Arabidopsis thaliana: one gene and its partner. The protein of the gene in region 1 interacts with the protein of each later gene in a pairwise test. Each region holds a gene or a part of one and is shown in the gene's direction. Other genes may lie near its edges.

What was found. Proteins that work in one complex are often made in the same cells at the same time.
Region 2: the proteins of SNF4 (region 1) and XRCC4 interact in a two-hybrid assay, tested with the Arabidopsis thaliana proteins (one study listed by BioGRID).

The regions. Positions count from the first base shown.
Region 1 is NC_003070.9:2,903,089-2,906,844, reverse strand, and holds the start of SNF4 (sucrose nonfermenting-like protein), read left to right. Parts: upstream 1-1,982; 5' UTR 1,983-2,632; coding exon 2,633-2,757; intron 2,758-2,904; coding exon 2,905-2,992; intron 2,993-3,425; coding exon 3,426-3,602; intron 3,603-3,756.
Region 2 is NC_003074.8:8,218,952-8,222,707, forward strand, and holds the start of XRCC4 (DNA ligase IV-binding protein), read left to right. Parts: upstream 1-1,730; 5' UTR 1,731-1,769; coding exon 1,770-1,959; intron 1,960-2,049; coding exon 2,050-2,192; intron 2,193-2,288; coding exon 2,289-2,417; intron 2,418-2,585; coding exon 2,586-2,708; intron 2,709-2,830; coding exon 2,831-3,040; 3' UTR 3,041-3,067; exon of another isoform or gene 3,068-3,197; intron 3,198-3,412; coding exon of another isoform or gene 3,413-3,756. Other genes in the region: RLP37 (receptor like protein 37), read right to left, coding at 3,413-3,756. UniProt on the Arabidopsis thaliana protein: May be involved in DNA non-homologous end joining (NHEJ) required for double-strand break repair. May bind to DNA. The LIG4-XRCC4 complex is probably responsible for the NHEJ ligation step, and XRCC4 may enhance the joining activity of LIG4.

The DNA.
Region 1 (3,756 bases):
AACACATATATATTTCAGATTAGGTTTTCGTTTGACTGACGAGAAACAAAATAAAGAATGTGCAAGAAAAATTGGTATACAAATTATTTAACTATTTTTACAAAACTGTGTAATCTTCCAAACCTAATTTCAATGATATTATACTTCTGGTGACGTGAACGTTCTCGTAAAACAAAAAACAAAAATCATCGAAATTATACTTACGGACAAAGAGTTATGGACTATCTATTTTGGAAGGAGAAAAAGAGAACCATCAGAAATTGCCTACAAGAGAACCATCAATGATAAACTCAGATTTTGACTTTTGTACCCGAAAGAGAAAGAACCATCAATGAAACTGCTTGCGCGTTAGTCTCCCAATATTTTTCCCAGCTTTGATGTTTCCTTAAATTCCTTTTTGGGCAAGGTTACAAAGAACTAGGCTATGCTATATTGTATAATCTAAGCTTTTCACTTTGATTGATTTCATATCAAAAAAAAAAAGAAAGAAAGAAGGAGCATATGTGATGTAATTGGAGAGTTGTTTAGACTAAGAGAAAAATGTATTCAGTGGAGGCTAAAGAAATTCTTCTCGAAATCTGATGCAAAACCCATAACTGAAAGAAAAGAAGAAGAAAGAACTCTTTGAATTAGTTCCCGAGCCAAAGATCATATACATAACCAGAATTACGACGAAGGAGTTACGGATGTTTAGGACGAGAGCCAAAGATGTTCTAACAATATGTAACCAAATGAAGACTTTCCAAATATTAAAAAGAGCCCTTATGAGATAAAAAAAAAAAACTTTGTTGGCCTGTTTTTCAATGCCCAAATATAGCGATCAAGATTTTGAGATGAAAGTTATGACCATTAAAGGAGTATATATATCCAATTGTCCATACTAGCCAGCGACCGTGAATGCTGCCCAATAACCAACAAGCCAAAATGACCATTGTTTACAAATGTCTTTCTCATTTGCTGTTTTCCGACAGATAGAGTAAGTGTATATATAGAATAGTACTGAAAGAGAGGGCCGGGGGACTTATATACGTTTTGAGGAAAAAGATAAACAACATTAGAGTAAGAGCGAGATATATACACTTATATAAAGTCATGTCTATAAGAAAGTTCAAATCCAACTTAAAAATATATACTCACAACAAATAAAAGTTACATCACTTCGATTATTTAGAGTTTATAAAACTAATTAGAAACCGAACTCTTTTTTTCTTCAAGGTCGTGTTTTGGTTTTAGGCTTTTAGCCCTAATTTACAGGTCTTTCTAAGGCTAAATCTACTATAAAATGTAATTGCATGCCTAGGGTTCAAACATGAAGTCTCCTCTCCCTCAAATAATGTCAACTTGGAAGACAACACGATTGTCTCCCTGTATTACATGTCTACCGAGAATAGATGTACAATGTAATTTCATGGATTATGTTTAACCCGATAATAAATTGGTGTGGGATGTAATGATTTATTTTCTTTAATTTAAGAAATTATAAGAGTTGACACAATAAAAATTAGAGAAAAAAAAAACATGGCTTTTCTTTTTACTTTATTTATTTACCCTGCTTCAAAACACAAGAGAATAAGAGAAAAGTGTATTTTGAAACGTTTTTGAATGTTAGTTTGGTTTTGTTTGATTTATAGTACTGTTTAACATCAGAAAAGACAAATGAGTTTAAAAAAATAATACCAAAAAAAGAATTTACTAGATACAATTTTAAAGTGGAAATATTTTTAATAACTTGGATCCTCGTCTAATTTATTCATAACATTTATGTGATATATTATATATATAGGAAATGATTTATTAGATAGTTGACTAAAACTATATATTAGATGCTATTATTTGCATAATTCATATAGTTATTTATTATGAAAAAAGAGAAGAATAATCAGTTATGTAAAAGTAGAATTTTTTTTTTTTTTTTAAATGTTATCGGAAAAACTGTATACAGTAATAAAAAAGAGAAAAAAAAAAAAAACCATATCTTTGTCGATGGATTAAAAACAACATTTTCATTACGCAGCGCTTCTTCGCCCTCAGATTCTTCTTCACCTTGAAAGACCATTAACATCATTCCTTGCCCAGATCCAAACAATGCCATCTCCACTCTCTCTATTTAGGGTTCTCTCCAACTTTTCAAATCCCTAATTCTTGCTCCCTCCCTTCAATCAATTCCGATCATCATCGAGGTCTCTCTACTCCCCGAATTTAAAGATCAGAGCCGCGACTTCCTCTGCCTTCTTTTCCTCGGAATTTTTCAGCTACGTTTTCCAGGTGGTGTGTATTGTCAATCAGTTGACCTTTGCTTTTGTAGCCAGATCGTTCGTGCTTTGAGTTTAGGGCTCTTTTACAAGGTTTCGTGTTGGTGGAATTTCTCTACCTAGGTTTGGGGGAAGAGTTCAGTAATTTCGTTGTAGATCGTGATTTGGGCTTTTAGGGTTTCGGTTTACTGGTTGCTGGAATTTATGGTAGCGTTATTGAATTCGGACTCTCTGCATGTGTAAGCGTTGAAGTTTGAAGTTTCACCGGGTTTTGTTTCTTCTGCTGAAGAGTCGAGATTATTTTACGCATTAAGAATCGATTCAGAAGGTTTTTAGGAATTAGTTTCTGTGGATTGTAACTATATAACTACTGGGAGGGGATGTTTGGTTCTACATTGGATAGCAGCCGTGGAAACAGCGCTGCCTCAGGGCAGCTTCTTACTCCGACACGCTTCGTGTGGCCTTATGGAGGTAGAAGAGTCTTCCTAAGCGGATCTTTCACCAGGTGAGATGACTGAGCTTGAACTAGGATAGTTTACTTTATATTTCAGTTAAGCTATTTATCGGGGTTTGTGTAGAGTATGTGCTCTGTATAGTATCTATCGGGGTTTTGCAGTCCATGGACTGATTTCTGAAATGGGCATTTGAACAGGTGGACAGAGCATGTGCCAATGTCACCGCTCGAGGGCTGCCCTACTGTTTTTCAAGTCATTTGCAACTTGACGCCAGGATATCATCAGGTTAATAATCTTGTACTCGACCTGTATCATGGCAAATTCTTTGTTAATTAATCCCTGCAGAAGCATTTATGTCCTTGTAGTGATTTAGCGATGTCCATAATTGTGCTTCATTTAGTCTCTGGATACTTAACCTATGCAATGAGAATCTTATATACCTCTGTCATATTTGTATGACTGTGGCTGAAAATTGCAAATTTCCTTGCTAATTGATCAAAATTTGACTTTATACATCACCATCCACATAACAAAAGTTGGGGTCTTCATGCTGTGTGATACCTAAATCACTTCTTTTAATAAAGGCTACAGTGTGTGTATAGAGATTCATATATTTTGGCAGTTGGATGTACTATATATAACAAGATTTTAATTATTACAATGTGAGATGCTTAAGAAGCCACTAATGTTACATTTATGTTATTTCATTCTCATGCAGTATAAGTTTTTTGTTGATGGGGAATGGCGGCACGATGAGCACCAACCATTTGTAAGCGGAAATGGTGGAGTAGTGAATACAATATTTATAACTGGGCCAGATATGGTTCCTGCTGGTTTTAGCCCAGAGACACTGGGCCGGTCGAATATGGATGTGGATGATGTCTTCCTGCGAACGGTAAGGAATCTGACCTTTCCTTTTCCAAAATGCAGTGTTTATTCTCGCTGCTTGATGGTTCAGGTTTCCCGAGTTGCTTCCAGTTTGGTTTCTTTAATTTTGATCCGTGGTTGGTATCCTTCAGATTATTTTTAACTGTTTGTCATTAGTTCAA
Region 2 (3,756 bases), on another chromosome or scaffold:
AAACATGATTTTCTTTCAAAATATTTTACAAACCAAAAAGACAACTAGAAGTCTGAAGTCTTTAGCGACAAATACATTTGTTAATTAAGATTCTGTGACATCATTAATAGTTTAACATGTACCTTATAATAGTAACCAGTTATTTTCTTATGCTCGAACAATCAAAATAAATTTGTCAATTTGCCAAAAAAAAAATCAACATTACAATAAGATAAATTTAAATATGAAAATCAACTTAAAACATGTTAATGTTTATATGCATATTTCACTAAAGTTAAATCTAAAATAGTATATTTACAGTGATGATGAACACGATTTAATAATTATACGATATCCAGATAATGTAGACTAAGTAAAGAAATGAAGTGAGCACAATTGTAATTTTAAATTTAACATGTGAATAAATTGTACAAAAAACATCTATTGATTAATATTCGATAAATTAGTAATCACTATAAATTAATAAAAAAATTTGGTTTCTAGTCAAGTGAATATAATATTTAACATTATTTGATAAAATAAATAAAGTAATAATTTATTCAAAAATCCTATAGAAATATATGGTTTCATTAGTATCATAAACTAAGAATTGTATAAACTTATTAATATCAATATATGTAAGAAAATTTAGTAAAATATGATTTTAGTATTGTTTGGTTTTTTACGCAGAGTTCAATTATATTATTTTACTACATCAATTTTTTTTGTATTGTTTTGCAGAGTTTAGTTATATGAATTGTATCCTCATCCTGTGTGAAAACTCTAGAAATTGTGTAACCACATCCTTCAGCTTTCTCCTCAATTGATCCGTTCAAATTATGTATTAATGATGTAGCTGCTTTAATTGAAGTCCTAACAATCTACACCCCAAATTCTCAATGATATGTTTGGGATTGTAGTTGGGGATGGACGAAGGCCAACCCGCTGCTCCAATCATAGCACTACGAATGGTGGAAATGTCAAGAATAAACCACTCGGGCTCAATATCGTCCACATTCTCATTAAGATAACTTAATAGGTCGTCATCGTCTTTAAGAAACAAGACTCTAGTTATTGATGAGCGACTGTTAATTTATAGAAGTTTTACTTATTTTAATTTTACATTATACATAAAAAAAATCACGTCATTGTATAAAATCCACTAAGGCGCGACCTGAATAAACTTTAGAAAAAATTTCAAATCCGTATAACTGCATTTCGTCTCATTCACAGTTGCATGAACTCTTATCATACGATTGTGCCATGCCATATTAACATCGTTTATCATCCAACAATAGTGGTGGAGTTACTTTCTTATTGAGTTCAATATACTAAAAAGGAAAACACATAATATAATTTTTTCTTTTAAAAGGCATTTTTATTATTATATGTATATTATTAGAAAAAAGTATGATTAAAAAAATTAAAAAGAAATGTAAGTAACAACATTTAACGGATTTTTTATTTATTAAAGATAAGCTTCGGTTAGGATACAAAATACAAAGATTTGCCAAACTAATTTAGATATTCTTCAATCTTTTGATGAGCTTCAAAGTAATAATTACTAATTAATTTACTGAATGAAAACAGTAATTTGTTAATTTTTAATTACTTGTGATAAAAAAATAAAAAAAAATTAATAATTACTTAAATTGTCTATATGTAATGGGAGTTTTTTTTTTTTAACAACTTCTTTTAAGTAAAATCACTAAATATATTTTAAAAAAAACAATACCGAAGCTGACTCAGCATCCACGTAAGCAAAACCAAAACAAATTATAGACATTATTATGATCGGAGTTGACTCAAAATCTTCGTCGACGACTTTTATCGAAACAATGGTTGAATCGGAGAAAACGAAACACACTTGTCTCCGTCTCGAAATCTCCGGCGCCGATCCAATTTTCGTCAAAGGCACTTGGCATAATTCTCGTTTCGATATCTCCGTCACCGATGGTTCCTCCTCTTGGATTTGCAATGGTAAACAAAAAAACCCTAAATTCACACTATCACTTAGCCTCTAGCGTTTTTCGAATCTGATTTTTATTTTGGTTTTGCTCGAAATTGAAGCGACGGAGGAGGAAGTGGCGGAGAGAGCAGCACAATGGGACCAGCCTGTGTCAGAGTATTTAAAGCTCGCCGAGCAATACTTAGGGTTTCAACAACCTAATTCGGTCTATAGTTTCTCCGATGCTCTAGAGGGATCTAAACGGGTCAGTGATCTTCTTATTGGATCATTCGTTAGTGTTTTGAAGTAAGCCTGAGATTTTTGGATGTTGTTGTTGTCTTTGATTGTGTTTTGGTTAAAGCTCTCTTGGACGTTTGAGAAGGAAGGGACTAAACTTGAGTGGAGGTGGAAATGTAAACCATCAGATGATAGCAAGAAGATCACTGTTGGGATCTTGGATTTTCTTATGGAGGCTAACATAAGGCTAAGTGTATGACTCTTATACTGTACGTTCTGAATTGTGAGGATTTGTTGTGATGTTTGAGAATGATGATGAATTAGAGCTTAAGTTCTTTGATCTATGCTTTGTTAGAAATGGCAATTTGATTTGTGTTTGGAAGATATGTGTCAATCTCTCAATACTTTAGTGTTTACACAGGAAGAAGTGGTGAACAAGACGAGATCTTTTGAGAAGATGAGAAGTGAAGCTGAGAGATGTCTAGCGCAAGGTGAAAAACTCTGTGACGAAAAAACAGAGTTTGAGAGTGCAACTTATGCAAAGGTATGAATTATTCGATCACCTTGGTTACTCTGCTTAATATCCACATCGTGGTTTGTTCTTGCTTAAACTAGAGTCATTGGTTTTTATGATCTGTTAGTTACTTCTTTTTTTTGTCAATGCAGTTTCTTTCTGTTTTAAATGCAAAGAAGGCAAAACTGAGAGCACTAAGGGACAAAGAAGATTCAGTGAGAGTAGTTGAGGAGGAAGAGTCGACAGACAAAGCTGAAAGCTTTGAGAGTGGAAGAAGTGATGATGAGAAGAGCGAGGAAGAAGCCTCAAAAAAGGCAACAAGCAGCAAAGCCCGTGGCGGGAAGAGAGCTGCACGAAGCTAAGAGATTGCCCTGCCGTGAGATTTTCAGGTCAGAGTTTCCATTCCAAGTTTTGTCAAACTCATAGCTAGGAAAATTGTTTGTCAAACCTTCTTTGGTTTAAAAAAATAATTTACAATTTGTATTACTTCTGAAAGTAAATGCAATAACTTAGAGATGGCATGATTGATTGTTAGAAAGCTTCAAGCCCCAAATTGTGATAACTAAGAAACATAGACCATCACACGAACCATATTTTATTACCAAATGGTGAGAAAATATTACAAACATAAAATTACAAAGCAAAAGAAAAAAAATCACAAAGACAAACACATGACGAGGTAGTTTCTCGACAACAACTTAGATGAATTTTTAGAGGAACTGTGAGAGATAGTGTTAAGAAGTACCTATGGTGGTTTTGCGCTTGTTTCGACAAAATTTCGCCATAAGCCACTTGTGCTTGTATGAAGTGAAAATATGTCCAATCACTAATCCACAAAACACACCAGGTCCAAATGCTATTGCAGCTGCTATCCAGTTCAGAACTGTCTCTTCCGGTTCCAACAAAGGTTCCTCGGGGTGCAGCGATGTAGGTATGGGGACATGGGTTTCTCCACAAATTTGATCGAGTCCATAGAGTCTGGGATTACCCATGAATGAAGAACAATTTTGACTTCCAAACTGTGTGCTTTGTGGCACCAATCCCTCTAGATGGTTGTGGGAGAAGTTGATGTTGGAGA